Drosophila melanogaster: one gene and its partners. The protein of the gene in region 1 interacts with the protein of each later gene in a pairwise test. Each region holds a gene or a part of one and is shown in the gene's direction. Other genes may lie near its edges. The genes, in order: Eno, CG7352, CG3308 and CG2540.

The links.
Region 2: the proteins of Eno (region 1) and CG7352 interact in a two-hybrid assay, tested with the Drosophila melanogaster proteins (one large-scale study listed by BioGRID).
Region 3: the proteins of Eno (region 1) and CG3308 interact in a two-hybrid assay, tested with the Drosophila melanogaster proteins (one large-scale study listed by BioGRID).
Region 4: the proteins of Eno (region 1) and CG2540 interact in a two-hybrid assay, tested with the Drosophila melanogaster proteins (one large-scale study listed by BioGRID).

What each region holds. Positions count from the first base shown.
Region 1 is NT_033779.5:1,722,286-1,732,922, reverse strand, and holds Eno (enolase), read left to right. Parts: upstream 1-3,286; 5' UTR 3,287-3,395; coding exon of another isoform or gene 3,396-4,094; exon of another isoform or gene 4,095-4,191; intron 4,192-4,459; exon of another isoform or gene 4,460-4,620; intron 4,621-4,690; 5' UTR 4,691-4,869; intron 4,870-5,042; 5' UTR 5,043-5,089; coding exon 5,090-5,277; exon of another isoform or gene 5,278-6,170; intron 6,171-6,267; coding exon 6,268-7,582; 3' UTR 7,583-8,155; downstream 8,156-10,637. Other genes in the region: CG17652 (uncharacterized protein), read left to right, coding at 660-779, 843-1,043, 1,107-1,520; CG31937 (uncharacterized protein), read right to left, coding at 1,974-2,939; Rrp40 (ribosomal RNA processing 40), read right to left, coding at 3,396-4,094; Rim2 (replication in mitochondria 2), read left to right, coding at 8,995-9,041. UniProt on the Drosophila melanogaster protein: Enzyme of the glycolytic pathway. Glycolysis is essential in glial cells but not in neurons; neurons rely on the citric acid cycle for their energy needs, and on lactate and alanine secreted into the hemolymph by glial cells to fuel it.
Region 2 is NT_033777.3:8,344,468-8,349,970, forward strand, and holds CG7352 (uncharacterized protein), read left to right. Parts: upstream 1-3,251; 5' UTR 3,252-3,296; coding exon 3,297-4,157; intron 4,158-4,211; coding exon 4,212-4,751; 3' UTR 4,752-4,829; downstream 4,830-5,503. Other genes in the region: DppIII (dipeptidyl aminopeptidase III), read left to right, coding at 399-556, 626-932, 992-2,887.
Region 3 is NT_033777.3:21,269,117-21,277,832, reverse strand, and holds CG3308 (uncharacterized protein), read left to right. Parts: upstream 1-4,015; 5' UTR 4,016-4,302; coding exon 4,303-4,492; intron 4,493-4,997; coding exon 4,998-5,346; intron 5,347-5,396; coding exon 5,397-5,678; intron 5,679-5,739; coding exon 5,740-5,878; 3' UTR 5,879-6,755; downstream 6,756-8,716. Other genes in the region: CG3301 (uncharacterized protein), read left to right, coding at 1,622-2,194, 2,253-2,432; Idi (Isopentenyl-diphosphate delta isomerase), read right to left, coding at 6,791-7,246, 7,303-7,617; AP-2sigma (adaptor protein complex 2, sigma subunit), read left to right, coding at 7,880-7,882, 7,939-8,088, 8,149-8,424.
Region 4 is NC_004354.4:12,626,260-12,633,236, forward strand, and holds CG2540 (uncharacterized protein), read left to right. Parts: upstream 1-3,618; 5' UTR 3,619-3,699; coding exon 3,700-4,635; 3' UTR 4,636-4,852; downstream 4,853-6,977. Other genes in the region: CG15728 (uncharacterized protein), read left to right, coding at 974-1,105, 1,162-1,353, 1,418-1,990; Aven (apoptosis and caspase activation inhibitor), read right to left, coding at 2,296-3,151, 3,216-3,244.

The sequences.
Region 1 (10,637 bases):
AGGATATAGAAACGCAATAGAGGGTTAGAGGTAACCGGAGGTCGGAAAACTTGATGTACGCCGTAAACAAAGCAGAGAACTGAAGAACCGAAGTATGAAAATTGTAAGCGGCACAAATGTGATATATGCGCAGTTTAACGACCTGGCATCTCAAACTATTACTGCGTTTCACAGGACTCAAAAGTCCTCGCACACAGTTTTTATCTAAACATTTCATTAACTGACTCTTTAGTTGCTAAACACTTTTCACTTTAACTTTTAAACTTACTGTATAAATTGGCACTTTGAAATTGAAGGCTCTGTCATTAAAATTTGAATTTTATTTATGCGCTGTTTGCTGCGCCTGCAACTGCAATGGAAAACCAACTGACTACGCGAAGGGAAATGAAAACAAAGCGCTTAATAGCTGCGGAAAAGAGAAAGGGAGGGAAATTGCTTGAAGAGGGTTGAAAATGCATTCTCTGTTGCTTCCGGTTTGGCGCCAAATGTAAAACATTTCGAATTCAAATAACAGCAGGCTATAAATTACAACAGAGCTGCTGTGCGCACACAGTCTGTTAGGCGAGAACAGCTGAGCTTGAACGCTGTTCAACACTGTACTTGCACGCTGTTTTTGTTTTTACTTGATAAAACTTGGTGACTACCCACCCGCAAATATCATGAAAATATCTCGTTTTAAGAAGTCGCACAAAACTCTGGTGTTTTTTGCCAGCAATTTCGACTACCGGGAACCCTACCAAGTGCTAATTGATGCCACCTTTTGCCAAGCAGCCCTTCAGGTGGGTTATTGCTTATATCATCTCTAGCACTTGTTGATATCCATAGTTAATTTTTACTTTTAGCAAAAGATTGGCATAGATGAGCAGATTAAAAAGTACTTCCAGTGCGGCGTTAAGCTACTGACCACCCAGTGTGTTATTCTGGAGTCGGAATCCCTGGGTGCTCCTCTCACTGGAGCCACATCCATCGTCAAGCGATTCCATGTCCACAAATGCGGACACGAAGGAAAACCAGTCCCCGCTTCCGAATGCATCAAATCGATGGTAAATTGAGAGTTACTTGATTTCAAGTATGCTATAGCCATAAAATGATTACTTGCCTTTCAGACCAAAGACAATCGCTATGTGGTTGCCTCGCAAGATCGTCTGCTGCAGGAGAGTCTTCGCAAGATTCCCGGACGTTGTCTGCTCTATCTGCACAAAGCCACTCCCGTCTTGGAAGCACCATCTAAAGCCTCCAAGAAGTGGGTGCAACGACGGGCCAAAAACCTAATGCTGGGCAAACAGGTCGAGAAAATCGACTACATGAAGGAGAAGCAGGGACTGAAGCCAGCTGAAACTGCAGTCAAACCCAAGAAGCACAAAGGGCCCAAGAACCCCAATCCATTGTCCTGCAAGAAGAGCAAAAAGGACAAGGCGAAGCAACAGCTCAAAGGAGTTGAGCAGACCGCAATAACCAAGGCGAAACGAAAACGAGTCAAGATCCCAGCGCACGTCAAGGCAGCGCTAGGAAAAGATTAGATTAGAATGGTTGATCAAGTAGATAAATATAAGATAATGCAAGGTAATCTGCAGTCTTGACAAATCATTATAATGTGGGAGGAGCTGCTTTAACTAGCCACCTGAGTGTAATATGCCCTCTTCTATAATGGCAAAAAAATCTATGCATCTGAACCAGATGATAGATTACTAAATTACTGGTTAATGACTTAAGTTAACTAGAATATTTTAGAATTCATAAATCTTAATTGATTATTAGCTTACCACAATATTGCTCACCAATTGAATGGGAGGAACTGTAGAATCCCACTGTGCCTGTGAAGATTATCGCGATTGAAACGCACACTCAACTTAATCTTGTGCACATATTTATATATTTTAGTATATAGTTAAGAATTATACAACAGTATAAAAGATGACTGAGAGCCGTTTGGAGCAGGAATAGGGAAGGGGCGAGGCACACCGGGGTTGTTCTCACAGTTTGCCCTCGCGAATCTTGTTCAGCGTCTTCTCGGTCATCAATTGAGCCAGAATCTTGCTCAGCGTGGGATTCCGGGCGCAGTAGGCCAAGAGGTTGACGGGAAAGAGGCCGCACCAGGTGAGATCCATCTTATTGGCCAAGGCAACGGCGAACAGATCGCCACATCTCTGGGCCGTCATCCGTTTCTGATTGGCCGTACTCAGACCCACCTTTCCGCCCTGCGAGCCAGTGAAGGCCTCCTGCAGGAAATCGGTGGCTATGGGTCCCGGTGCGAAGAGCGACACATCCAGCTTGCGCATCTCCACTTTCAGGGAGAGCAAGTAGGCGTTAAGGGCGTGCTTGGCGGCACAGTAGGTGGGTGAAAATGGCACTGGACTGAAGCCGGCGATGCTGGAGGTGGCAGCGATGTGTCCTCTACCGCCGTTCTGCTCCACGAAATAGCGCACCACCAGGCGGCTGAGGTGGACCACCGCAAAGACATCCAGTTCGAACAGCTCCCGGTCCACCTCGATCTCGACTTCGGTCCAACTGGCTCGCTGGGATCGGCCAGCATTATTGACAAGGACATCCAGTCGATGAAAGTGATTGAGCACCGTGTTGAGATGCGTCTTATGCTCGTCGAGATCGAGCATGTCCATTTGAATGACCAGCACGTCCTTGGTGGCCAGCAGTCCGCGAGCTGCAGCTAGGCATTCCTCTTGCACTTGCTCCAATTGCTCCAGTCGCCGGGCACTTAGCACCAATTTCACTCCATGCCTGGCCAAGCTGAGCGCCAAAGCGCGGCCAATTCCGCTCGAGGCACCAGTTATCCAAACCACCTGTCCGCGCATCGACGACAGCGAGACTCCGAAACGGGACTTGTACCACAGGGCCACATTGCAGTCGAGCAGGATCCAGAGGAGCACGTACACGACATAGTACAGCACGAGCAGGAGCAGCAGAAACTCCAGGAAGCTCATCTCGTTGGCTCTGTATGGCACGGCTGGGTCGGAGAAACCTTTGTCCTCTGCCGCAACGGAAGGCACTGAAACCTGTTCTTGGCCACACAGAAATCACTGCGAGCGGGTCTGATCGATCAGCTGTTGGTGGGCACCAGAGGTGACGCAGTGACTGCGGAAAGTAGTCACCTTATCTGACATAAAACCCTTATACTTGGTTTTTGAATGATGCTATATTATTTAAATACCTTTTGGTAGCTAGGTAAGGGTAGTACTATCTTTCTTGAGAGAACATGTAGAGCATAATCCAAGATACGAAAAACGCTTCCATCTGCTCATCTCTGATAGTTTTTTTACGTAAACGAATCAGGGCTTCCAACACACTGCCTTTGCGCCAACATTCACATCAAAATTCAACCCCATCAGTTTGGCTAACCATTTCTTTTTATATAAAAGTAAGTAAACTAAGAACTAATCCTAGGCCTGCAGGAAGTCTCCGAGATTGCCACATATTTTGTCGATTTCCGCACATCCCGATTGCTCCAGCGCTGAAATGGCATTGGCGAGGGCCACGGTTTCTTTCAGGGAATGGGCCTTCAACCATATCCTGCCGTTGACTCCCACAGCGATCTCGTAGGGCAGTTCCCGGGTAAGAGCGGCGAGAACAGGGCAGTTTTCCCGCAGCAGCATCCTTCCCAGATTCAGGCTGCACTTGAAGAAGAATCCATCGGTGAGGACGCCCAGTTTGCCACTTTTGCCCACCGAGTTGACGCAGACCAGCTCCGGTTCAATGTCCGCGCTTGCATTCAGGACTCTCGCGTAAATCAGATCACCGGGGATCAGATCCGGGCGATTCTTCTTGCTGGCCGCCTCAAAGGCGAGATACGATATGGAGGCTGTGTCCGTTGCTCCGATGTCCACGCGGTACAGATCGCCCGCCTTGGCTCGCACAATGCCCAGAATGAGATCCCCGCGTGCCGGGATGTACCTTCTCTGGTAGTTGTCCACCCAGAAGGTGCCGGGTTCCTTGTGTCGAAGTGGGCCCGCCTTGCTAGCCACCACCGTGTCATCCAGACGCCGCAGTCCCGGTCCGAGTATCACCCGCTTGCTCTTGGCCAGCTCCTCAATGGCCGCAATTCGCTCACCGGGCATAACTATTGTGCTGGTCGCGCTCATTTTAATGTTGCTTTTACGATTTGAAAACTCCAAACAAAAAATCCGCGTGTGTCTTTCAAAACATATGGTCAAGTCGAGGACTTTCCAACACTGCCATTGTCAGCCCTGGTCTTAAAGTTAAATTTAACAGTAGTTGTAAAGAACATAAATATTCAAATTATTTTTGCCCCTTCTTATTTTATTATTTTCAAAATGCTTACGATTTTAATTATTAAGATGAACTTAAAAAAGTAACAGAAAAATTATATTTAGTCAAATTGTAATTGTTCTATATTACTGAATGATCTTAAAAATGCAAAGAAAGTTTTAAAGAGCTAACAGCGTGTGGGCGGCAATGTTAACCAACACATATGCAATTTTTTCCCGATCAGCTGTGCTGCTATAAGCATAATCGTACGATTTGTTAAAATCCGCTTTGCATTTATTTGTTCTAATTTATGGCAGCTAAAAAGCGTGACTAACCACAAGTATGTGACTTTGAATGACCCGATTGTCCAGAAACCACGGGAACATTTCATTATCATTGGTTGTTACACTTCTCTTGACGCCATTTGATTGTTTATGCTTTATTAACGAGAGCATTTATTATTATGTAGATAGACATGCAATCCACAGCTACGTGTGGATCCCGATTACTCTAACCTTGTGCGAAGGTCAATTTTCCCCAAAAAATATAGGAAACGTACCAGGGAAAACAACAAAAAAGGGAAAGCGCACCCCCACACTGAAAACCGGCGAGCACCTGGAAACGCATACATATAAAAGGAGAGTAAATGTAAGTGTCCCTCTCTTTTCCACACTTAGAGATGGGCAAAAATACATCGCCTAAGCTGAGCTTTTAAAATTTATGAATATTAAATTTATCATATAGCTTGCAACAGAGCTATAGTTTCATGTAAGGTAACTAAAATATATATTTTAAATGATATTTTTTACTCCTTTATCAAGATACAAATTGGTAGCACTTTCGCCGCCGTCTTTTACACATTCAAGCCATGTCTTGGACCGCTTCAGTTTTCTTGAGGACTTCCACCACTAGCATGAAGTTTCTGCGTCTGCGCTGGCCTCTCCCCAGAATTCCCCAGAATAAATCGGCAAACGTTGCGCCGCGTTTCAGAAGCAAATCAGCAGTCAGCCAGCTCTCATCTGGATTTAAATTTGTGCAGATCCGCAAAAGTACTTGGTATGTATATTGCTAGACTCTTGGTGTGTGCTTGTGCATCCAGCTTAGGGAAAATATTTAATTGTTTTATCTGCGAACTTCACAAAGATCACCCCAATCGAAAGGGCTTGAAAATCGAGCGTTTTTTGCGAGCGATATCCGCGCGATTATCTAACAAATGGTGCTGTGCAAATTTTCAAGTGTCTCGTTTACGTATATTTCCAATCGATTTAATTGCACAAATCTAATAATTTCAATTGACAGGCATTTGTTGTATCGCTGTAGGGAGATACTTCCGTTTTTCGCAACTTTTCCACGTACTGCGGCTTCGCTGGACGCCTCACTTTGGGTCTGACCTTTAAAAGTAGCTTAGAGGTCATTCGGTTGTTCGGCGAGAGCAAACTGAAAACTCTCCCACTGAGATAAGCGGAAAAGCGGGAAATGCCGCCAGTGTCAGTGACTCTAAATTATTATAGAAATATTTAACTGAAATTTGAAGACAAATTAAATATAGAAAACTCAGGAGGGGCATTTCGAGATTATACCGTGGAGAAAGTCACACCCGAATGGGGATATATGTATAAGTTTACACCACTCACAGCTCAAATTGCAAGTGACTTACATGCTCACAGCTACAATTCTTTGCAAAAAAAAATAATTTTTTATTAATATCTAACCATATTTTGAGAACCAAGTCCAAAAGTATGTCAAAGGTGTATCTCCCATTTCCTTTCTAGTTCGTATTTCTTTTTCGACATATTTCCGAATATTTCACTGCATCACGAAACATATCATTTAACTGTCCATTTGGAACAATTTTAAATATAAATAAGCCCAACTATTTAAGTAATGGCGGGGATTTCGCAAATATTGTGGAGCACATCCGCCATAAAATCTGAATGGCTTCATCTGCGGTCAGCTATTTAATAGAACACCATGCCTAGATTTAAAGTCCTGATAACAGACACTAATTCGCCCTCGTGGACTTTGTTTTTTGTTTTTTGATTTCAGTGACAGCAACGAGATGACCATCAAAGCGATCAAGGCCCGTCAAATCTACGACTCCCGTGGCAACCCCACCGTGGAGGTCGACCTGACCACCGAGCTGGGACTCTTCCGAGCCGCCGTGCCCTCCGGCGCCTCCACTGGCGTCCACGAGGCCCTGGAGCTGCGCGACAACGACAAGGCCAACTACCATGGCAAGTCGGTGCTGAAGGCCGTGGGCCATGTGAACGACACCCTGGGACCCGAGCTGATCAAGGCCAATCTGGATGTGGTTGACCAGGCGTCCATTGACAACTTCATGATCAAGTTGGACGGCACCGAGAACAAGAGCAAGTTCGGAGCCAACGCCATCCTGGGCGTTTCCCTGGCCGTGGCCAAGGCTGGAGCCGCCAAGAAGGGCGTGCCGCTGTACAAACACATTGCCGATCTGGCTGGCAACAAGGAGATCATCCTGCCGGTGCCCGCTTTCAACGTGATCAACGGCGGCAGCCACGCCGGCAACAAGCTGGCCATGCAGGAGTTCATGATCCTGCCCACCGGCGCCACCAGCTTCACAGAGGCCATGAAGATGGGCTCCGAGGTGTACCACCACCTGAAGAATGTGATCAAGGCCAAGTTCGGTCTGGACGCCACCGCTGTGGGCGATGAGGGCGGCTTCGCCCCCAACATCCAGTCCAACAAGGAGGCTCTGAACCTGATCAGCGATGCCATCGCCAAGGCCGGATACACCGGCAAGATCGAGATCGGCATGGACGTGGCCGCCTCCGAGTTCTACAAGGATGGCCAGTACGATCTGGACTTCAAGAACGAGAAGAGCGACAAGTCGCAGTGGCTGCCCGCCGACAAGCTGGCCAACCTGTACCAGGAGTTTATTAAGGACTTCCCCATCGTCTCGATTGAGGATCCCTTTGACCAGGACCACTGGGAGGCCTGGTCCAACCTGACCGGCTGCACCGACATCCAGATCGTGGGCGATGATCTGACCGTGACCAACCCCAAGCGTATTGCCACCGCCGTGGAGAAGAAGGCCTGCAACTGCCTGCTCCTGAAGGTCAACCAGATCGGCACCGTCACCGAGTCCATTGCCGCCCATCTGCTGGCCAAGAAGAACGGCTGGGGCACCATGGTCTCCCACCGTTCCGGTGAGACCGAGGACTCGTTCATCGGTGACCTGGTCGTCGGTCTGTCCACCGGCCAGATCAAGACCGGAGCTCCATGCCGCTCGGAGCGTCTGGCCAAGTACAACCAGATCCTGCGCATCGAGGAGGAGATCGGCGCTGGCGTCAAGTTCGCCGGCAAGTCGTTCAGGAAGCCGCAGTAAGCGCAGGGCACTTCGAAATTCCAACCACACCAGCCCCATCGAATGAGATCTGGATCTTGGAGAGGGAGCTGGACGCAGTAGATCCATGGAAAGGCGGCGGTGCACGTGTTCGTCAACCTTTTACGTTCGGAACTTGTGTCTGGCGCACAAATACATCAGAATTAAACTACCAAACCCATTTGCTGTCTCTATGCTTCGTTCTTAGACATTATTAATTAATGCTAAACCTTGATCTAATCATTATTTATAAACAAAAGAATAAAAAACACTATGTGCAAGATATTCGTTCAGTTGCCGAGAGCTTTGAATATCTTCAATGTAATCGCTGTAATCGTTATGAAATTATAAATTGATCTACACAAACACCAAATCCACAAACAGACAAGTTATTCACTTCAAAAACGGTTATGAAACAATTGTTGAGACATAGAATTTAAGCGAAAGCTGTTGGAATATTCTTATCGAATATACACGGTGTTCAATAGAGATCTTAATCAGATGGAATAGTACACCAAATATTAAACATATTCAGATTTGTTAGTTGATGTGAAATAAAAAGTATAAAAGTTACTGAATTCTTTTCTTCGATCACTTGTGGCGTTGCCAGATAATCAAGTAAACTCAAGTAAGGGCAACTAAAGTAAAGGCAACTATCTTAAAACATTTTCTGGATTTGGATTAAGATTGAATGGATCTGAATTATTCATTATCTCTGAACTGATGAATGAAGTTATTAAACTTTGAATACGATCTTTTTTCTATCTTTATCTTTGCTTTCCACCAATTAGTCGAGTATTTCAATAAGCTTTTTCAACTTTCTGTGAATAAAATTGAATTTCTAGGGTGGACCAAAATGGCGCTCAAAGTTTCGCACAGAACCGTTGAATTCCCCAGTTTGTTGGTATTTTTTAGGTCGTTTCTTGGCGCCTCGCAGCGGCGGTATGCTTCCACAGTCGCAGTGCGGTCACTCTCACGGACGTGTTTTTTTACATCGGATCGAAAATAAATTAATGCAAAGCTAAATCACAAACGCTAGGGATCGGCGAGCTCGAAATCGAATCAGTGCACCGGCCGACCGACGGACTTTAACTGCGCGCAAGCTAACCGTAGGTTAAGTTAACGCTCAGCACTGCAACCACTGCAGTTGCATAACCGTTGCCGAAAATCAAGTCGAAAAGTCGGAGAATCGCGGCCAAGCGAAAGCCCCAAAAGTTCAAAGGACAATAGAAAGTGGCAAGAGGAAGAGAGGAGAGCGTGCTAAGAGCCCCTCCCCCTGGGGCCCCGCCCCCCACACCTCCGCCCACAAAGTGCCTTAACAATATAGTGCGTTTTGCCAAAGTTAAAACCAAGTGCGCGTCCAAGTAGCCGCCCATTTCGGTGGAGCCTATTCCGGAACTGGGAAGACAACGAAGATGGCCCAGAACACGGCCGACACTCTCATCCACCTGATCGCCGGCGGGTAAGTCTGCCTGCCTGACATTCTCCCTACTGCGTCTTATCGCAGGTCAGGCCATCAGCGTAGAACGAAACCGGTTTGCTCCCGGCCTCTAATTGTAATTGCTCGGCGGGAACGGCGCAATTGGCGATTAGATTTGGGCTGGCCCACGAAGGGGAGCTGAACTATTTTGGCGCCACTGCCAAAAGGGAGCAAACCGAAAAAGAAATGCGGCCAGCGCAGGGAAACACACAACACAAACTGATCTTCGGGAAACATGCTACGTTCACGTGCTTTGCATTAAAAGAAGGGTATTTGTTGTTCGATAAATCGCAGCTAAAGTGAGCGAAATACGCAGAACATATGTAATTAATTAAAGCGCGCCTGCAGCGAACAAACATTCATAAACAGCGCATTTCTGGGTTCATTTTCCGCAGGCAATGTCCACTTGGATTCATTCCGATTCCCCTGGACAGGCAATTGCTTTGTTGTTGTTTCCCTTATGGACTTTTATTGTGGCTTTTATATGCGGCTATTTTTAGACGCGTCGCATCTGAATTTATTTTTGTTTTCACCTGCACCCTACACACACAATGGCCGGCACATTAGTTCTTCCACATTAGTTTGCCCAGCGGAAAACCAGTTTCCAGCGATCGAGAATCGATCCCAAGTCGAGCCCCTGGTCAGTCGGGAAACGATCGCATTTCAATTGAATTACGCTCGAAATACGAACTTTGTTATTTATGCTTGACAGCTCTCAGCTTTAAATAGTTTATTTTTGTTGATATTTATATTTGGGATAGTAAACAAGTGTTTATAGAGTTTGTTTATAAAGTATCTCCTAGTCCATGATAGTTTTTCCACAGAAAATATTTGCTATACTTCGCTCCTTATGACTGCAATCCAGATTTCCACTTTATAAAAACAACAGCTCACCGTTTCTGACAACTTTTGATCGACGCGGGTGGCCTTGGTGAAGGCCTTTGATAGCATGACCCCCCACCTATAATAATTCCGCTGAATGGCACTTCTAATGCCCCGCCACAGTGGCAATCAAGTCTCTCCGGGCAATTTGCCGGCCGGCAGTGCAAGTCCACTTATCAGCGGGGGAAAAAAGCAACCACACAGTTGTGGCACCCACCCATGTCCGTATGTATCCATGTCCGTATGTATCCGTGTCCGTATCTAACGAGTCGCTGCACATATGCGTAGTATATACTTTAGTGGGCTGGAAATACGCTGCACGTTGCAACCTGAGCTGGCTAATACCCCAGTTGTTCTGGCCGCCTTCCACTTGTCGTCGCTTGCCGGGTATCTCGTGTTGGTACACGTTGCGAAAACAAATCGAAAGGCGTAACAACCTTGCCTCCCCGCCACACAATGCTATCGCAGCAAGTAAGCCGCACGGCAAACAATCAAACGACATCCATCTAATCGGGCATCAGAGGCCTCCAAGGGGCTTACATAAGTTGAAGAGGGGCAGTGCACATTACTATTAAGGAACTGCACAGCTAACATTGTTCTAAGATCGGAAAACAGTTTACTTTATTTATAATTTATATCCATTTGTAGCTTAGTGTTTATAGTGAAATATTTCCTACTATCGCCAATTAGCAGCGT
Region 2 (5,503 bases), on another chromosome or scaffold:
TTCTCACTTTTTAAAGGTAAGTACGCACGAAATTACTTATTGATTATCTTTTCCACTTAAAACACGAATGCCCGGTGGGTTTTTGTTTGTTTTGCGATTGACTAACCACGTAGTTCTTAAACATTCACATTTTCCTTGGGCTCTGCCAGTTCTTCACGTTTTCGGGCTCCATTTTAGCCATAGTTTTGTTTTCTATATTCTTGTGGTAAAACGCCGCTTAACTGCCACATCTGCAGTTTAGCCGGCTTGCTGGAGATAAAATTGCATTATCAAGTTTTCATGTGTTCCCCGAGTTATTTGGCTTTTCATCCAAATTAAAGTAGCCTTTTCACATTTTCCAGTTGGGCGACAAGTAATGTAAAGTCTTCAAATAGAATACTCTCAAAAAATTCCCAGTAATGTTTTGGCTAAGAGGGCTACAGAGATCCCGGCAGCAACTGAACAGGCTGTGTCATTTCCGTAGTCGTCTAAATTACGGGACCAGTCCCAGTATTCGCTCAGTCCAACCGTCAATCTCCAGAAGTTTGGGATTTTGTAGCTCCCTCGTTCGTTACAGGTATTTGCCAGGTGTTATCTAAAGCCCATGTATATAATCGGTCCGGTTCGCCATATGATATCTTTGCAGCTGCAGCACCAACCTTCCCCAACCCGCTGAGATGGCCAGTAAAACCGCGCACTTCGTCCTGCCTAACACGCAGCCCATTGCCGATTTGGACTGCAAGAGTGCCTTCGAGAATCTCACCGAGAAGGAGAAGCTCTACGCCCACCACTTCAGCCAGGCCTCCTGGGACGGCGGACTCATTGCCTTGATCCAGTCCAGTCCGGAGGCGCCGCTCATCTTCTCCCTGCTGCACCGCATTTTCCTAGCCGAAAAGATTCCTGTTCTTAGGGCGAAAGCCCTGGAGGCGGGAGTGTCTGCTGATGATTTTACGGTATGGCAGAGGAGAGTTTCATATTCTCGAAAATAAATATTAATTTTGATCACTTTCAGGCCTTCCTAGTGTACGCCTGCGGTGTGTTCGCCAACGCGGGCAACTACAAGGGTATGGGCGACAGCAAGATCGTTCCCAATCTCTCAGAAAAGCAATTTGAGACTATAGTAAAGGCATCCGCTGCTTACAGCGATGAGCCGCGCGTAGGCAAGATCTTCGAGAAGGTCAAGAATCTGATTTATGCGCTCGAGTCGCGTAACGAGATCCTGGGCTTTGCTCCCGACGGAATCACCACCTACTGGTCGGATAACTGCACCAAGGAGGACTCCGAGATCGTGAACGCTTGGCTGACCTCAAAGCGTATCGAACCGTACATGTGCCGGACCTTCAAGATAGTTGAAAATGGTCAAACCGTCTACGATGTAAAGCTGGGCTCCGTGGCGGAGTCCACGCAGGACGGCATCACACTTCCGCTGGAAGAGTATAATGGCAACAAGTTTAGGGTGACACGCGGTGATTACCAGAAGCTGCTTCAGCGCGTCAACCAGCATCTGCTGCAGGCCCAGAAATACGCAGCCAATGAAAACGAGTCCAAGATGATCGAGCACTATGTCCGATCCTTTGAACAGGGCTCGCTGGACGAGCACAAGAACGGATCGCGTTGGTGGATCAAGGACAAGGGACCTGTCATCGAGACCTACATTGGTTTCATTGAGACATACAGGGATCCTGCTGGAGGTCGGGCTGAATTCGAGGGCTTCGTGGCCATGGTGAACAAGGAGAGCTCGGCCAAATTCTCCGAGCTGGTGAACCGCGCCGAGAAACTAATAGAGTACCTGCCCTGGACGGAGCCTTACGAGAAGGACTCTTACCTGAAGCCAGACTTCACATCCCTGGATGTCCTCACATTTGCCGGCAGCGGAGTACCAGCGGGCATCAATATTCCCAATTACGACGAAATCCGCCAGGATGAAGGCTTCAAGAACGTCTCGCTGGGCAATGTGCTGGCCAACATCAACCGCAAGGATCCCATTCCTTTCCTCACCGAGGAGGATCAAACTCTGATGAAAGAGTACAAGGTGAAGGCTTTTGAGGTGCAAGTGGGCCTCCATGAACTCCTAGGCCATGGTAGTGGCAAGCTATTCCGCATCGACGAAAATGGTGTGTACAACTTTGACAAGGAGAACACTAAGAACCTGGTCACCGGTGAACCCATCACCAAGTGGTATCTTCCTGGAGAAACTTACGACACCAAGTTCGGAGCAATTGGTTCCTCGTACGAGGAATGCCGCGCCGAGGCGGTGGGCTTGTATCTCTCCCTGCAGCGTGACATCCTGGAGATCTTTGGCTTCAAGGACAAAGCCGAGCAGGACAACATCATCTATGTCAACTGGCTGAGTCTCATCTGGAACGGCATGGGTGTGGCTCTGGAAATGTTCAACCCGAAGTCCAAGCTGTGGCTCCAGGCGCACTCTCGCGCTCGTTTCGTGATCATGAAGGTGCTGCTGGAGGCAGGCGAAGGACTCGTTAAGGTCGAGGAAACCGAAAAGGGTAAAAACCTTTTGCTGACGGTGGATCGCAGCAAGATCGATACCGTGGGCAGGAAGGCGCTGGGCGATTTCCTGACCAAGCTGCAGGTGTACAAATCCACCGCCGACATCGAGGCAGCTTCCAAGATGTACGAACACTACTCGAAGGTCGACGAGAGCGGATCGCATCCGTGGGCCAAGTGGCGGGATATCTGCCTGGCGCACAAGAAGCCGCGTATGATTCTCGTCCAGGCCAACACGGCGATCGGCCAGGACCAAAAGGTCCAGCTGAAGACCTACGAGCCCACCCACGAGGGGTACATCCAGTCATGGGTGGAGCGCTACCCCAACACTGACATCGACGATCTTCTGGAGAGCATCGTGGAGAAGGACAAGAAGTATTTCCCGACTGCCTTCAACAACTGAGAACATTTCGCATTTAACATTTTCGCCTTCATTATCAATTCAATTTGTTAACTATGATTTTGAAAAAAAATATATAAAAATATATATAGTCATCTAATGACCAACAATTTTAAATTTTAAATTGCTTTTATAGTAAAACTTTCGTAGTGAATGGTGATTTTAAGATCGTTTTTGCCATTCACCGAAAATATTGACAAAGGACCTGAATTTAATTGCTTGTATGTACATACATATATTGCGACCAAATGTATATTGCTCATAATAGCTCCACAATTAAGAATGTAAATATAAAATCAAATACTACAATTTGTTCATTGAATGTTTTCATAGTAGCCAGTCGATAAATATTGGTTTTTTTTTTTTTATTTTGTTTCTCGTTTCCATTTCTGTTTGCATTGTTTTGACCACCATGGCAACCGGTAGAAATCGTGGTAACCACAAGGAAGGTGGCACTATCAACATCGGACAGCCGCTATTCCAGGTGCCTCATTCATTGCGCAAGGAGCACGACTTTTTCAGCTCACAGCTGTTCCGAAAATTGCAGTACGACCTGGAGGAGGTGAGCCGCAGCCAGGAGCTTTCCAAAGTGAGTCCCATAACCCGCGACTTCATCGAGGAGGCAGCGATGACGCAGGAAATGCAAGATCTTAAGCGTGCGGAGTTTGTGGAGAGGAAACGTCGCCAGCAATTGCGGCGGGATTGCGAGGAACTGCGCGACTTGGCGGAGCAGCTGCGCCTAGCCGCCATTTCCAGGGATATAGCCGAGAATTTGGAGGAGAAAAAACGTCGTCGACAGCTAGACATCAAATTGGAAGCCGCGGAAGTGTCCCAAGAGCGCTGTCTGCTGGAGGTCAGGCAACGTGAGAAGGAAGTGGCTCTTAAGGAGGAACAACGCCGCCTTAGGGAGTCCTTGGCTGAACAAATGGAGGAGAACCGCCGACGGCGCCTGCAAGAGCACGCTCAGGTGATGAATGACCGGGAGCTGAGCCTTCTGATGCAGAAGCAAATCCAGGAAGAGGATCGAGCCCAGGAGCTGGAGGCGCAGAGAAAAAAACTACAAAAGCGACAGGACATGCTGCGGTCCATCAAGGAGAACCAGGAACTCAGAGAATGGCAGCGAGCTCAATACAACCAGGAGTTGAGTGACTTAGTCCAGAAGCAAAGTGACATGGAGCGCAGGAAACTCCAGCTGGAGGCTGAACGCCAGGAGATTCAACGCAAAAAACAAGAAATCAGCATTCGTTTGGGCCAGCAAGTCCTAGAAATCGAAGTAAGTCTTGAAGCGGTTTTTCGATTCAATCAATAAAGCTAACTCTTATTGCAGAACAAAAAACGGCATCGCGACAATCTGCTGCTGGATCTGTTGGAGGCGGAGTACACGGCCAAGAGTGACGAGCGCTATCGCCAACAGATGCAGCAGGAGCAGATGTCTCGCCAGCGCACCAGACAGGAGTTGGATCGCTATCGACAGGAGGTGAAGCATCGTAAGATGGCCGAAATGCAGATGAAGCGGGCGGAGATGGCTACGCGGCAGGAGGAGGCGCCGGATACAATCAACCAGAATTCCGAAAAGCAACTGGATGAATATCGCAGACGCCGGGCCCATGGAGCCTCCTTGCTTGCTATGATTGAGGATAATCACCGGAAGCGGGCGGAGGCCACCGCTGAAAATGTTCAGTACTTTGACATGAAGGCCAAGATCGATGCCGAGCAAGAGGAACGCATCAAACAGGAGCGTTTGGCCATGTTGAGCCAGGTTCCTTCCTCCGTGCTTCGATATCTACCAAAGCATGTCCTTAAGTCTACGGATAGGGAGCATTTCTGCCTAATTGACGCTCAGGCACGGGGCGGTGGCGATTCCTAGTCAGTGGCATAGTTCCAAATTGTAATTCTAAGACGGTCAAGTTTATTTTTGGCTTCCAAAAATAAATTATTTAAAATTAAGCGCCGTTGTGTCTACGTGACGTGTATCATTTAGGCTAGCGAAGATGCCAGACCGTCGCCTGTGCTGCCAGTTCGTTGTTTTGCTCGATTGGAAACCTCGATTGAAAGGATATTCTCACAGAATGCGCATCTGCTGTTTCAATTTGGTTTAATATTATTTTGAAAGCTCGGCCTAATAACCGCTTCATAATTGCCGCGAAAGTGTTTATGCAGTCCAATCAAAAATACTATAAATGTTATCTGTAATTGAAATTTTATATCAAATTGACTACTAACTATTTCTTTGCATCTTACTAATTGCATTCAAAAAACATAACTTTCATAAAATACATGTTTAGATATACGTTTATTTTGACTGGTATACCAATATATATCTTTTTATAAAAGATAAAGCCAGTGCTGCGGAAGCTTGTCGCTGGTGCAGAAGCTCGTGTGTGTGAATAGCTTCTTTTCGAAATCAGTGGTACCGAGCAATATCGAAACCAAGACATCCCTAACACGCCCATTATCGGACTATCGATACTATCGCGAGTGCTAGCTGACGCTGGTCTGGTTTTATTTTATGTTAACGGGAGTGATCTTGCGTACAAACAATAACACGGAATCGCAGTGAAAGGGCGTTGCACAAATGACAGTGTTTTGGCAAAATGCCCGGGCTAGTTTTGACCACGT
Region 3 (8,716 bases), on another chromosome or scaffold:
ACTTGACCATGCTGGGACAGAGTAGATTAGGGGGGAATGGAATAGTCTAGGGATTAGGGCTAGATTAGGATTAGAACAGGACGAAGGAGTAGGTTGTCCGCTAAGTGAGCACAAAGCAGTCAAAGATTTCGCACTAAACGTATCACTACAAACTAACAAAGAAGCAAACAATAATCGAACTCAAATTCGTTAAACACTAAACACCAATAAACTTTAAACTATACGAAATAAAATTTTAACGGATAGCGCAAGGAGGCAGAATCAATGGTAAAACTATGAAACTAAACGTAACGATTAACTATGCAATTTTATTGTTAGCCAAAATTTTATAACTGTCAAGTAACGAACAAGTAAATATTTATATGTATACAGAATATATCAAGTATAAAGCATACGTTATATATCTTTATATACTTCGATTGCATTAGGCGCTGATCGGTAGAGTTTTAATTGGCTTTTGTGTAACCGAGAACGATCTGATCAGAGATTTAGTCTAGTCGTACTCATTGCTCTCTGTTCAGGCACTTGGGGGGGAGCTACATATGTGTAAACCCGATCCGAAATCGAAAAGTAGAAGACATGCACAGCCCGTTCAAAACTCCAGCGCTTAGTGTAAGGCAAGCATCTACAATGAGGAATATCAATAATATATTTCAAATATACAAATATATATTTATATAGGCCTAGCGACTCACAAGCTGGCAATATGTGGCAAGCAGCCACAGAAGCGAACAACAACGTCTAGTAAACAAGAGATTACATTTATACAAATACATACATATTATATGCTGCAAGTACGAAGGGCGCGCAATAGAATGTCCTTTCCCGCTTTCGATTCCACTTAAAGAAGAACCCGAAAGTTGCGAGCAGGCTGATTTAAGCAAAGTAATATTTATCGAATACCCCAATTTGAACTTTAGGTTTTAAAGTTTTAAAACGTAGAGCATACCCATACTCACATGCATGTGCATTATGTTCGTTATTTACCGATGCGGAATACAAAAAAAAAAAAAACAAAATATTTAACAGAGATCGCGCGTTAACCAGTTAAACCGAAAGCATGGCATTAATGGCAACACAATATTATATATGTAAATATATGTGTTATGCAGACATATATATGTATATTTATCGCATAGAACTAACACCAAAGATACATGCATGTTAGCAGAAATAATAAATAAAAATTCAAACTAAACTAAAGTTTTAATATCTTAATTTGGGCATCATTTACGTTTTGCAAATGGACTACAATCGATTTTAAATATTCTAGAAGTTTGCCCGAAACGAAGAATACTTTTAGGCAAACTTGATTTAATAGCAAATCGAAATAACGATGGAGAATGTTCTTGATGGGTATAAATATGAAGTCATCCATAGATAGCGATCATAATTGGTAATGGTGCCGCTCTCTTGAAAATAAAATGAATTCCACTTAAGAATTTGTCTGGTCACTCGGCTCTCGAGAACCCCATTCAACTGGATTTATTGAAGCTATCTGTGTGTAAACTTTTCACCAAAAAGCTCCGCCTATTGATAACCGATTAACATCGATGTAGGGTATAAAGTAATAGACATTGAACCTAGTCTCCGTTGGGAAACCACATCAAACAGACTTGCCATGAACCGCTGGTTGAATCGCGTTGCCGTAGTCACTGGTGCCAGCGCCGGAATCGGAGCAGCCTGCTGCCGCGATCTGGTGGCCAAGGGAATGGTAGTGGTGGGCCTGGCCAGGAGAGAGAAGGTCCTCCAGGACATCAAATCCTCCCTGCCCGCCGATCAGGCTGCTCGCTTCCACACCCGCCCCTGTGATGTCAGCAATGAACAGCAGGTCATCGATACCTTCGCCTGGATCGATCGCACCCTGGGTGGTGCCGACGTGCTTGTCAATAACGCCGGGATCATACGTCAAATGAACATCACGGACCCGGAAAATTCCGCTGATGTGCGTGCCATTCTGGACGTGAATGTGTTGGGAGTGACCTGGTGCACCCGCCAGTGGTTCCTATCGCTGCAGCGCCGCAAGGTAAACGACGGTCATGTGGTAGTCATCAATAGTGTGGTAGGCCACTCCGTTCCGGCCGTGGAGGGCTTCAGCCTGAACATGTACGCGCCCTCCAAACACGCGATCACCGCCTTGACCGAAATCCTGCGTCAGGAGTTCATCAAGAAGGGCACTCAAACAAAGATCACGGTAAGTGACCTTGCTCATCCAGTTCGCATGAGAACTTCTAATGATGTACGTATTTTAGAGCATCAGTCCTGGTGTAGTGGCCACTGAAATTTTCGAAGCCGGATCCTGGGAGCAACCCACAGGCATGCCCATGCTGCGATCGGAGGATATAGCCGATGCGGTGACCTACTGCATCCAGACGCCCCCAACTGTCCAGATAAAGGAGCTCATAATCAAGCCGGTTGGTGAGGGCTTTTGAAGTGACCACTTCCAAGTGACCAAGTAAGTTATTTGAACAAATACACAAATATCTTTTCAATAGCAGTGTAAACAAATAAAAAATGTACATGTTTAATTAATAGAGAAAAAATACACCCAAGGTCGCTCTTTTATCTCAACATGGAAACCGGGCTCAACTGGTTTTTGCTTACCCCAACGTTCAAGACGCCTTTCTATTAAACCCGTTTGTTCGTCGGGAACATTTTTAATGATGAATAATCCGGTATAAATCTTTATCTACCCATTTTTAATAAGAATATTTGATATCAAAATTTACCTAGACAAACACCCTCGCTATTATTTATCGATTAGGGTGACTCCGAAATATATGTAGATAGGAATTTATTATTCAGGAATTGTTAATGGTCTCTTCAGATCCAAAAAAAATCCAATTAATTCCAATGATACTGCGACATTGGGAATTATCTATTAAGTAGTCAATCCACCCCAGACGATTATGCTTATAATTTTAAAAATGTACCCAAAAGATAAGAGTTAATTCGAAAACAAGTCGCACTGCCGAAAGACATATGCAGATGAGTGCTGTCTGCAGCTGATGGCCAAGGGAGTGTGGTTGATAGTTCCAGCCAAAAGGGTGAACTGTCTCCAGAAGATGAACTCCTCCACTGCCATCAGCAAGCTGGCTTCCATTTTCCCCCTGCGATGTCACCAATGGTGACCCTTTTTGGTACATTTTCTTGAATCGATAAGAGTTTGGGTGGTGCTGATGTTAAGTAAAAACATTATGATAGAGGGAAACTCGGATGATCTGATAACAATACCGTTCTAGATACCATTGCACCAGGAGTACATTGCAGAAGTCTTCCGACAAGAGTTTATCAACAGGGGAACTCAATATAATATGCCTGTTGGAAGTAGTAGGTTGGATGTGTTTATTATAATGAGTTTCCCCCTTAGAGCATCTGCTAACCATTGTAGATACGTAAATAATCAGTGGCATGGAACACCGGCATACACAAGCTGAGAATAGAGGATTGAGCCGGTGCAATATCATATTACACTCACTATCAAGCCGTGGGCGAACTTGTTTAAACCTTTGTTTCTTGATAAAAAAAAATGAACAAGCTTTGTGTGGGCCAACTCAAATAAATAAACAATCGCACTTGAATACAATGAATCGTTTTAGTTAAATAATCTTGCAGGTGTTTGGAAAGAATATAATGAAAACATTATTCTCATTTGTTCGTTTGTTTAACCAAAACTGAAGGTGGGGTCGGTGCAAGTGTGTGGGCTTGGGTTTTAAATCCCCAAAAACAATGACTGTTGCCGAAACAAAAAATTCGACTCAGTTATATTTAGTTGCGACTTCTGGTATGGTATTGTGAAATATTTAATTATTTGTCTTAAGATGTTACTATTGATGATCGGAATTCTACTATATACATGAAACAAATATATTTATATCAAATAATTGGACTGAATTTTATTACATAATATTTATTTTGATAACAATTTAAATTCAAACACGATATAATTTGGTGCTACGTATCGATTCCGACTATCGATTGCATGCAGAGTGTAGTACCTGCACTGACCCGTTCTGCAGACGTTGTTCAACTCTAGCCAGCAGTTGTAGTTCGTGTCGGGATTGTTTTTTAGATTAATATTTCTCAACTTTTAGACCATTGATTGCCGAATTGGTCAACTCTTCCAAATTCCAACAAATTCAGTAGATCCACATTTCACGGCTTTCACCGCCGTCGCGTTTCCTTGCGCCCTCAAAAACAAGCTAATTGAATTACCCACGCACACAGTCGCAGCCCAGCAATCCATCGCCTGCGTCATAAGCTATTTTCGTCGATAATAGATCCAAGATTCCGATCCAGAACATGGACCCCAGTCAACAGACGCCCCAGGAGACGGTGGTGGCCCCCGTGGCCCCGCTGCTGGAGGATCAGCTGGAATTGGACATGAAGCACTGCTTTGAGAACCTGATCGTCATCGACGTGGGTGCGAATCTGACCAACAAGAAGTATAGCCGTGATCTGGATTCCGTGGTGCAGAGAGCCAGAGACGCAGGTTTGTATGCCAGCATCAGATACTACATGTGCAGGCATAATTAATAAGACCCGGGCAGTGTCTTCGTTCTGGGGCGAGGCTGCGAAAACACCCAGACAGCCAGAAGGTCGGGCTATTGGCGAGCAACAAGTGTGCCTGTGTTTTGATATATGTATGCATGTACATATGTGCCCTGGGAGATGGCATTACAAATTCAATGGGAACGTAGCTGGAGATTAAAAACCAAATAACCAAGATGTCAACACAACAATATTTGCATAGGATAAATTTTTAAAGGAAACTATAAACATTTAAATATATGTAAGAGATAAATTCTCTTTACATATTTGATTTGATATTCAACAAAAAATTTGTTTTTTAAATACATTTACTTAAAGGGATACATTACAATGCTGATAAGAGTATCTGATCGAAAGCAAACAGAAGTCACATATTTTCTCTTTTGTACACAAGTCTGTAGCCCAGTGAACGTTGCACTAACTTTCTCCCGCCTTTCTTGTTGCAGGTGTCCAGAAACTAATGGTTCACGGCACTTCGGTCAAATCGAGCAAGGAAGCGCTGCGCCTTTCGCGCATCTATCCCGACATAATCTACTCAACTGCTGGCATTCACCCGCACGACTCCAAGTCCATCGTGGAAGAGCCGGCCACGTGGTTCGATCTGGAGCACATCGCCCAGGCGCAGGAGTGTGTGGCGATTGGCCCCTGCGGCTTGGACTACCAGCGGGACTTCTCCGAACCGGACGCCCAGAAGCAGATCTTCGCCAAGCAGCTGCATCTGGCCATCCGGCTAAATAAACCTCTGCTGATCCACGAGCGGTCGGCTCAGCTCGATTTACTCGAAATACTAGACAAGTAAGAGCCGTAGATTTGGTTTACAAAACTTTAAATTGTTCCCCGCGCAGATTCGAGAATCTTCCGCCTGTGATCATCAGAGGTTTTATGGGCACCGCCGAGGAGGCGCTTAAGTACCTAGACCGGAGGTTCTACATCAGCCTGACGGGCTACCTGTGCAAGGACAAATCGGATACTGGCGTTCGCCGCCTGCTGGAGGACGGCACATTGCCGCTAGACAGACTACTGGTGGAGACGGATGCTCCTTTCATGTACCCAAACACAAGGGCTTCCAAGCTACCGCAACACGTGAAGACTGGTATCACCGAACGCTCATTGTTGTACTTACACAGGTGGGCGAAGTAAAAAGTACCAAAATAGGTCACTCTTCTATTAGTTCAAAATACCTTCCAGATATTGTACCTTCCAACGCAACGAGCCGTGCAGTTTGCCCGCCATTGTAGAGATGATAGCCGCCTTCATGAAGAAAAGCCCGGACGAGGTGGCTTTGGCCACTGCCTTTAATGCCCTGAAACTGTTTGGCTTGTCCTAGAAAATGGTAAAGGAGCCACATGGAACTGAACGACAAAGTGTGCCACCCAGCAGCTTTAAACCCGTAACTCTATAGATTCAACGAGCCTGAGATTCACGATAGACTCATACCTATGTGCCTTAACCACTAATCGAATTCAGGATGAAGCGCTTATCCTGATCCCCACACATACACACATCCACAAATACGACCCCCATTGCATGCGAAAAGTACGTATACGTATATAACTATATATTCACCCCCTGCCGTAAAGGTGCAAACCATCGATCGAAGTTTGCAGGGTCTAGCTTTAAGTTGTTGGAATTTCCGAGCAATTGCTTTATTTACTCGAGTACCCAGAGAAACGGTGCCAAGGTGGTGCCTCGTGAACGTCGACTCCGGATTCGCCCGGGGTCTGCACTTCACGCCTCGAAGCGCGCGCTTCGAACTCGCTCCCGAAGCGATATATGTTAATGTTAAGTGCTGCAGCTTGTCTTTTGTTTGTTTCTTCTGTATTTAGGCTAGAATCAATACTTTTAGTTTGTGTCTCTGTTAGCCTGTAGTCGTACTTTTGTACATATTTATTCTTGTTGCGACGATGACGATGATGATGATGATTATGGGAAACGTAATGTGATCATTTTAAAAGCTAATTAGTTATTTGATATTCAACATACAAACACATTAGTTAGGCTATGAAACATATTGAATATCGTGCGCCTATACAAACTATATATGTATTGTTATATTTACATATACAAAAGCGTTGTACTGAACTGATCGACCCGCGGAGGTTGCATAAAATCCGCTTTGTGCCCATTGTCCGCACACAGACACACACTATTTTCCATTTGAATAAAGCGAATTTGAAACCCAAACGAACAAAAGCCCCTTTTAGACGTCATTACGTGTATTTTTGGTTGGTTAGCACACTTAAAAGCGCTGAATATTACTCAAGTCCTCAAATTGCTCCAGCTGGTGCAAATTGTCCCACCAGAGTTTCAATCGATGCTGCAGAATCAGAGAGAACCAGGGTGTCAGCGGGGCACTAAACTTCGCCACCGCCTCGTCGATCTTATCGCGGCGCAAGTAGCGCACCTCACTGACCTCGTTGCTATTTGGACGCAGCGTCACGTCTTTTTGCAGGAACAGGATGTAGTCTATCTCGTGCTCGCCCCACACGCCGTCGCCCGTGTCTGCGTAGTGGATGCGGGTCAGGTAGCGAAAGTCCTGTGGCTGCAGTTCCTCTGTGGGAATGCCCAGTTCGTAGTTGAGACGTCGTTGAGCGGCCACACGGATGCCCTGTGCGTTGCGCTCCTGACGTTCCTGTTCGATTTCGTAAAGCGGATGGCTGCAGCACGCGTTGGTGTAGGTGTTTGGGAAGGTTATCTAAGGATACAGAGGATTATGGACCTTGTAATAAGGGGATTACCCTTTAATTTCACCTTGTGAGACGATCGCTTCTGCACTAGCATCTCTCCCTGAGAATTGAAGAGAAAAACACTGAAGGCGCGATGGAGCTTAACATCATTCGTCTCTGGATGCACACGGTGGCAGTCTGCCTTAGAGGCGGCCCCAATGGCTTGGTCGTTGGCGTCAACCAGGATGCACTGTTCCTTTAGAGCGTGAGCCTGCAGAGGATCGTGTACGGCGAACTCCGTGGGCACCTGGCGCTGATGTTTCTGGCCCACCGCTGTCGTTGAGCAACCGCGCAGCCAGGATACGCGGGGCAACAGGAGATTCAAGCGAGAGGCCAACATTTTTGGTAAATGACTAGTTTGGAGTGGTGGCCAAAACAAATATGAAAGTGAAACTTCGTAATACAGCGCGCGGGTCTGCCAACTCGTTTGCTTTCTGCGCGAACTGTTTGCAACACTGACGAGGTAACAGCTGTTCCGGAACAGTAGTGGTAGCCCTGGTCCCAGTGATACACAATTTGCTCATAATCAGTTTTTCGCCCCCATTCTCGAAACAAAAAAAGTTGTAAATAAGCAGGAAACGGTTTAACCAATTTCCCGAAAAATGGTAAGCAACTAGCCAGCTATAAGCTTAGACCCCTATTTGACCTTCCATTCGCCCAGATACGATTCATACTTATACAAAACCGAGCTGGAAAAACTCGCCTGGCCAAGTGGTATATGAACTTCGATGACGACGAGAAGCAGAAACTGATTGAGGAGGTGCATGCCGTGGTCACAGTGCGCGATGCCAAGCACACCAACTTTGTGGAGGTGGGATCGAGTCCATATGTTCTTTTGAATCACCCTTTTATCACACTTTTGCCTTTGTAGTTCCGCAACTTCAAGATCGTCTACCGACGCTATGCGGGTCTGTACTTCTGCATCTGCGTGGACGTAAACGACAACAACCTGTGCTATCTGGAGGCCATTCACAACTTCGTGGAGGTGCTCAACGAATACTTCCATAATGTGTGCGAGCTGGATCTGGTCTTCAACTTCTACAAGGTGTACAGTGTGGTGGACGAGATGTTCCTGGCGGGCGAGATCCGGGAGACCTCGCAGACGAAGGTGCTCAAGCAGCTGCTCACGCTAAATTCGCTGGAGTAGCGGCCCAATTCATACATATGTATATCGGATCTGCCAGATGCATTCCCCCAGGCGCTACACCCGCCTATCGAATCTTCTTTCATATACTATTACGCGTATTATTATTATTATCTTTAATGTGTTCTCTATGCAAACACTCAAATGTTAAAGGCCGTGTTTAGAAACAAATGATGTACCATAAGAGATTGTATGCAAAAGTTAAGTATTTTTGTTTTTATATGGGGTGTGTTAGGGGTCATTTGGCGATAATCCATATATTTTCTTCTCTGGTTCCGCCCACTCACCTCCGTAG
Region 4 (6,977 bases), on another chromosome or scaffold:
TAATTAAAATGTGAATATGGAAATTTCAATAGGAATCTGTGCAAAAAATGCCCCAAAAAAATAAAGGGGGCGATAAAAAAGCAGAAGAGCAGAAAGAAAAGACCAAGCAAAGGACGCACAAACACACACACACACACAGAAACTTAACGGTTTCCTGCTGTTATGGCCATCTTGCTTGCACCTCTTGCGCTTTTTACCGCCAGTTCGTTTGCGTGCGTGTGTGTGTGTGTGAAAGCAAGTAATTGCGAAATATGAAATATGAATGCATAATGAGCAGATATTCGCCAAGTGTGCAAGAAACTTGAAGCGGCGATGGGCGTGGCAGGTGGAAAAGTGGGAGTCGGAAACGGAGGCCAGGTGACTTTTATGCTAAAATGCGCACATCGCGCGTGCATTTGCATTTTGCCAGCCTTTTCGAAAGCAGTGCAAGGACAAGCACAAATACACACAAACAAAGGCGGGCACACACACAGGCAGGAAAAATCATAACTACAGTAAGCGTCCGATAGCAGCGACTCCTCTAAGTCCTTCAATTTTATGCGATTCAACTAGAAGTTCAACACAAAAGTGTATTTTGTCTAAAAATGAACATAACTATATAATTATAATATTTTAATATATTATTACAAAAAATTAATTTTAAATCATGGAAGATGTACATAGGTTCAAGGTTCATGAATTCAAATCAAAAGCTTCATAGTTAATTCCTAGACTTTTCAATTAAAAGTACCCACTTGCTGATTTCACTGTACTCGGCTTGGCCAAGATGGCAGCCAAGTGTGTTTGAAAAACATGTCAAAATGTTGTGGAGCTCATTAAAATAGCGTTGGCTATTTGCACACATCATATCTTTCAGTCACTAATTTGTAGAAGGAGGAGGAGAAGGTGAAGCAGCAGCAAATCCTTGAAGGCGCCTTTTCCCTGTTCAAAAGTAATGCATAACTCCCTTTTTCCAGCTTTTTCCTCAGATAAAATGGCAGAATACAACATGAGCCACATGGTGCGACCCCAGGGATTCAGTTTGGAAGAGCTGCGTCAGACTATGAGTCGATCGGCGATTCGGGAACAATGCTACTTTATTTATGCCACCGGCAATATTCTGGAGGTGATCCATATTCATATCATAATCACATTATCTAATTTATTCACATGTTCCGTTAGATTATATCTGGTTTTGATGAACTGCTCAACCAGGAGGGGATCCAATTCGGAGCAGATAAACTGGCTGCGGTGTATGTATGCGGTTTGATGGTTTATCTACTCCATCATGAGGACACGTCGGCCACCCAGGTGAAAAGAACTCTTTTCCTGCAAAAGTGCTTCAATTATATGGCATGCTCCGAGGAAAGCCATGTGAGTAAGCATATATATGTTTGAAATATATATTTTTTGATCCTTCCCTTTCTTTGCCCAACAGATCCACCAGGTATGCGTCCATGTCCTGGGTCTCTTGGATATCCAGAGTTCGAGCACAATGCTCAACCTGATCCTCGGCTGCCGCGTGGCCAGTCCGCTGTGCACAATGGCCAGCGTTGTGGCTAACTGTCTGCTCTGGGCCATGTTGGATCATATGTCGGACTTGGGCCTGGACTTGCACCGATTGCGTCCGGCTAACACACTGCTGCTCGTCGTTGCCGTGGTGAAGCCGCATATTTATGTAATATCCTATTTGCATTCCCTGCACCTGGTGGTCCGTTTGATATCCAGCATCCTGCTGATCGGACCATTCAATGCCCAGGGCCAGCAACTGTGCCAGGAGACCGATGTGCCGGAGGATTATATGAAACTGGCCAGGGACGATTGTTCGATATTAGTTCGCTGGCTAATCGCGATCGTTGATGAGCTGCGTCCGCTGATGGTGGAGAACAACGATTTGGGGCATCTGCATGAGCGCCTGGTGCTTTTGGAGTCCATATGTGAGCTTATGCAGCTCTTGCATGGCCATTTGGTTAAGTGTTACCAAGGCAAAAGTGGACCACAATGTAAGTAATAGCGAACGGAAACAAAGAAATCTGTTATAAATTCAGATACTTTGATGAGAAGAGAATTGAAATCTTCAATAACTTAACCTAACCTTTGAAACTTATTTCAAGAAACAATCGCATCGTATATATATGCAATCAACGATTTTATTATACACAATAAAAAGGCTCTAGCTTTAACTATAAAGTTACGAGGAAAACTCTAGATTTTGCAATTTTAATGATGCTACTTCTAAAAATGCAAGCACTTAGTGATTTGAATATTTCGTGTAAGCGTAAAAAGCTCTGGTAATAGTCCTCCTGAACTATGTAACTATTCATCCAAAACGGAATCCAGCCATTCCTCCACACCGTTTTTGCTTGCTGCCGATGAGGGTGTGGCCGGCTGCACCATAGGCATTGGCATCGTAATGGTTCCAGAGCCTATATCCAGTTGCGTATCGGTCATGGCCAATAGCTCGTCAAGTTCATCAGGTTCAGCTGCTGAGGCAGCAATTGGTTTTTCCGCCGCTGCAGGGGCAACGTCCTTATTGGACTTAGCAGAGGGAGCTCGCGACTTGGCGCCCCCATTGGCGTCCTTCAGAATGCACTGCTGGTAAACTGCCTCAGCCCGTTCGGCGGCCTTCTCTTGGGCGGCAATCTGAGCGCGGGTGAACAAAGACGCCGGATAATCCATACGCTTGTATAACGGAATCGTTTGCAGACCCACATTTAGGCGGGTGAGGTTCAGGGTGAAGTAAGCACTGGCAGCCTTGGTGTGTAGCTTGGTCTGGCCCTCGGCCACGTTGGCCCATTCGCGCTCTGACCCAAAGGTGAAGTGGCCGCCACCGAGGCTGGGAAACTGGGCCAGCTGCTGGAAATCGCCAGCTCGTAACTGGGCACGGGCATTCTCATCGATGGGTGCACCATCCAGGCCCAATTGCTCCACATCGTCGGTGTCGCTGGGCAGGGTGTCCAGCATGTCCCTGTTCCGTTGCGGTGCCAACGATGAGCGGCCTGCTCCACTGGACTGCCAATTGCCACGCCTGGCCAACCTTGGCTCATCGCTCGAGTCCGCCACATCAACCATGCTGCGACGGGAGGTGGGTGGTGGCGATCCCGACGATGTGGTGGAGCGCCCTTGATCCTTTTTATGGTGATGATTGTACTGCTTCATGTTCCTGCGCTTTCTGTAAAGGATGGGTTGTTATTATTAGGTGCTAACTGCGAGGTGAGTGGTTACGTTGCACGTACTCCTTGGATCGATCGTCCTTGCCGGACATTTTGATGGGGGTTGTGTGGTTTCCGGGGTGTTATTTATCTGGTAATTCCGATTCAAAATCGGTTTGTTTATTCCTTCGTTCAGCGACGCGAGTGTGAGCGGGATGGATAATGCGGCAAACAGCTGTTCCCTTAACTGAGCGCAGGGTGGCCAGGCTATATTGTTGCAACATAAAAAAGTAACGGAAAACGAAAAATATAAATATACATATTAACAACATACCATATGAACATTTTAGTTTATTACATAAATAAAATGATTGTTCAATTACATAAAAATACATATTTAACTATAAAATCTAATATTTGTAATAAATATTTAAAAATATATATATAAAACTCAAGGCTACGTGGCAGCCCTGTGGGAATCGAACAGCTGATGTCGATAACTTTAGACGATAAGCTGCCAAAGGAAATTGAAAATTTTCACAATTTTTTGGCTAACGAAGCACCGGTGATGTTGGACTTCCTGACGGAGCTGCGAAGCAGTGGTTCTAGGGCGGATCAGCTGCCCGGCAACATATACACCGAGTTCTTCGCGAACGTTATCGAGGAGCCCAGGGAACATGGATGCAAGTCAGCGGATCAGGATTTTACACAAGGATTCTCCATGCTACGCACTTTCGATACCGAAAATAGCAATCAATTGGAGCCGCCGGCGGCCACGGATGCGGATGTCTGGATCTTTGGCTATGGGTCGTTGGTATGGAAGACGGACTTCCCGTACATAGACCGACGACGCGGCTTCGTTTGGGGATTCAAGCGTCGCTTCTACCAGCACAGCATCGATCACCGGGGTATTCCCGAACGTCCTGGTCGCGTGGTCACCCTGCTGCCAGGCGATCCCGCCCAGGATCGTGTCTATGGCGTCGCCTATCGCATAGCTGCTAGTCAAAAGGGTGCTGTGTTGGACCATCTGGATTACCGGGAGAAGAACGGGTATGAGCGCTGCAGCTTGGAGTTCCACGAGTATCCGACTGACGGTGCAGAACCCATCCAAGTGATCATGTACGTGGCCACGCAGGCGAACGATTCCTATGCTGGTGATGTGTGGCAAGTTCCCTGTATTGCGAGGCAAATCTTCAGCTCGGCCGGTCCCAGTGGCCCCAATCGCGAATACCTATTCAACCTGGCCGCCGCCATGGATCAGCTCTTTCCGGGAGCTGTAGACGAGCATCTCGAAGAACTGGTTGCTTGCGTTAAGCGTTACATTGTCGAGGATGAGCCCCAGTTAATACGCCATGCGCTGTTGCATGAGATTTCCGGTATTCTGGAGGAGGAACAGCTAGCGGAGCAGGCACACCAGCTGGAGAAGCTTTTGGAGCGATGTCAGAAACCTGGCGGCCGCGAGTGGTTGATCTACGCTGCACTGCAAGCTAAAAACAAGTCGTGACACCACAACATTTTGCAATAGAAGACTACTGTTTATTGTAAATACCAAGAAGCTTGGGATATTTCTTTTTAGATGCACCATTCCAAATAGACCAATTGCAACGACGTGTTATAGAGGCTTCTGACGAATCACAATTACGATTGTGATTTCCTGTCATGAACATTATTATTTATTCATTATTATATATGAAAACATATTTTAAATATAAATTTAAAACAAACATTTGTGTGATTTTATTTAAAGTGAATTGTCTTGTGATTTGTGGTATCATTAAACATTGAATTATTAAATATATAGTAGTTATAAAAATCATAAAATATAGAGAGCACGCTCTAGGCCGGATAGAACGTATAAATCTATGTTGATAGTAACATTAATATCTAATCTTTAAATTTATAATTCAGGAATCACGGCATTCAGATAGTACTCAATATAGCGTTTATCAGCTTTTCGAATCAATTCCAATATTTATTTTATTTCCACCGGTGTAAATTAACCATTTTTCAATACAATGGCACGTTATATATGAATCTAATTAGGCAAGTAACTTAAAGGATTTTAATTAAAAGTTTCTAGATTTAATTTAATTTTACGGGGAATACCCTAAATAGCGAACGTGTAGAATATAGCTGTGCTGCTTTGGTCTCACTGCTAGAAAATATCGATAAGATTGATATCGATAATGCCCAAGCTTGCCGTTCATCGATGGCGCCCAGTCGTCGAAGTTTTCACAGCTCTAACAGTTGAGACAACATTTTGAGAAATTGTCGTTTGTTTTGTCGTGCTTTTTGTTTAAACATTGCGTTGTGTTTTTTGTTTATCGCCCCCGTGTCGATCTGATCTGATTCGGTTCGCCAATCCAATTGGATTGGGCAAGCGCCACAAACGTTCAACAGCGGAGTGAATCGCCATGAAACAGGTGGGCGGGGCTTAACGGTTTGCGGGGGGGTTGGTTGGTATTTAGTGGGTGGTTGTGTTGCGGAATGTGTTATTGTTGCTGTTGTTTTTGTTTTCGTTTTTTGTTTCTGCTGCTGCTGCGATGATGTTATGTCCCCTGCTTGTCAATGTGTTTCTCTCTGCATGTGTGTGTGTAAAATGCAAATTAGAATGACAACATGTTTGCATTTGCTGCTTTTCAATATCAACCATCACATCACCGTTAGGTTTTTGCTGCTGCTCCAGATGAATCATTTGAGCTCTCCCCCTCTCTCTTGCTCCCTTTCCCATGCAGATTCTTATCAGAGCAGCGAAAGTCAATGTTCTATCTTTATTGTTCTTGTTCTTGTTTTTGTTCTCTTGCCAACAAGTTTCTTATTGGACTACATTTACATTACCAACATGACGCAAGAGTTGCCAACCTCCCCCCCCCTCTGACCATGTCGTTCGGAGCTCCTTTTTATTGCCTACTTTGCTGAGTTATTGATAATGGGCTCTCGCACACAAGAAGGATAAAGCATAACGGCGCATAACTTATTACCATTACCATGCAAATTTCCATACGACCATTGTGTTTGTGTGTTAGAGCGAGAGGACCTATGAATTGTGAGAGTATGCCAGTATTTACATTTTAGCAGATTACACTTTTTAGTATGTACTCGCATGTGGGATTTATTACTTTGCTTTCTCAAAAAAAAAAAAGAAAAGAGAAAAGGCAATTTGGGGAGCTTCGCCTCCTAACAAGTATCGATTCCTGGTTAAAGCAAGGGAAAACCTCGGTCAGGGTTGCCAACGCATTGGGCTAACAATCCGAAATCAAAGCCAGCGACAACCATACGGACTCGTTGGTGCTTTGCATAACCATATAACCAGGATATTCAGGACGTGCCAGTGTGTTTCTGTGTGTGTGTGAGTGTTTGAATTGTGTGTGTGTGTGTACTCCTCCGTGTATGTATAACACGTGCCGTGGAAACTGCGCGGAAACGCTACCAGTTTCAGTTTTTCGCTGTAGAGCATTCGACGCGTTCGCACGCGTTGATTTTTTCCTAAATCCTAAAAAAGAACCCACAACCATTAAGCCAAAATCTATAAAAAAAAATTGCAAAACATCTCGAAACAAAAAGAAAATCTGTTCCAGATGTTTACGCCAAGTAAATCCAGAGGAAAAGCTACAATTTAAAAGAAAAAAATCGCTGTGTTGGTATGTGTGTGTGTGTGCTGCTCCTGCGCTGCCTCAACAAATTTTTCACTTGTATGTGTGTATGTGTGTGTAACTCGTGTCATGTGACCGCGCGCGCAAAACATTTTGCATTGTTTTTGCCCAAGCAGTTGCTGTAGTTGTTGTTGCAGGATATCCAGCGTGTACGCGAAAAACGTTTTTGGGGGCGAAATAGCGTAAGCCTGCG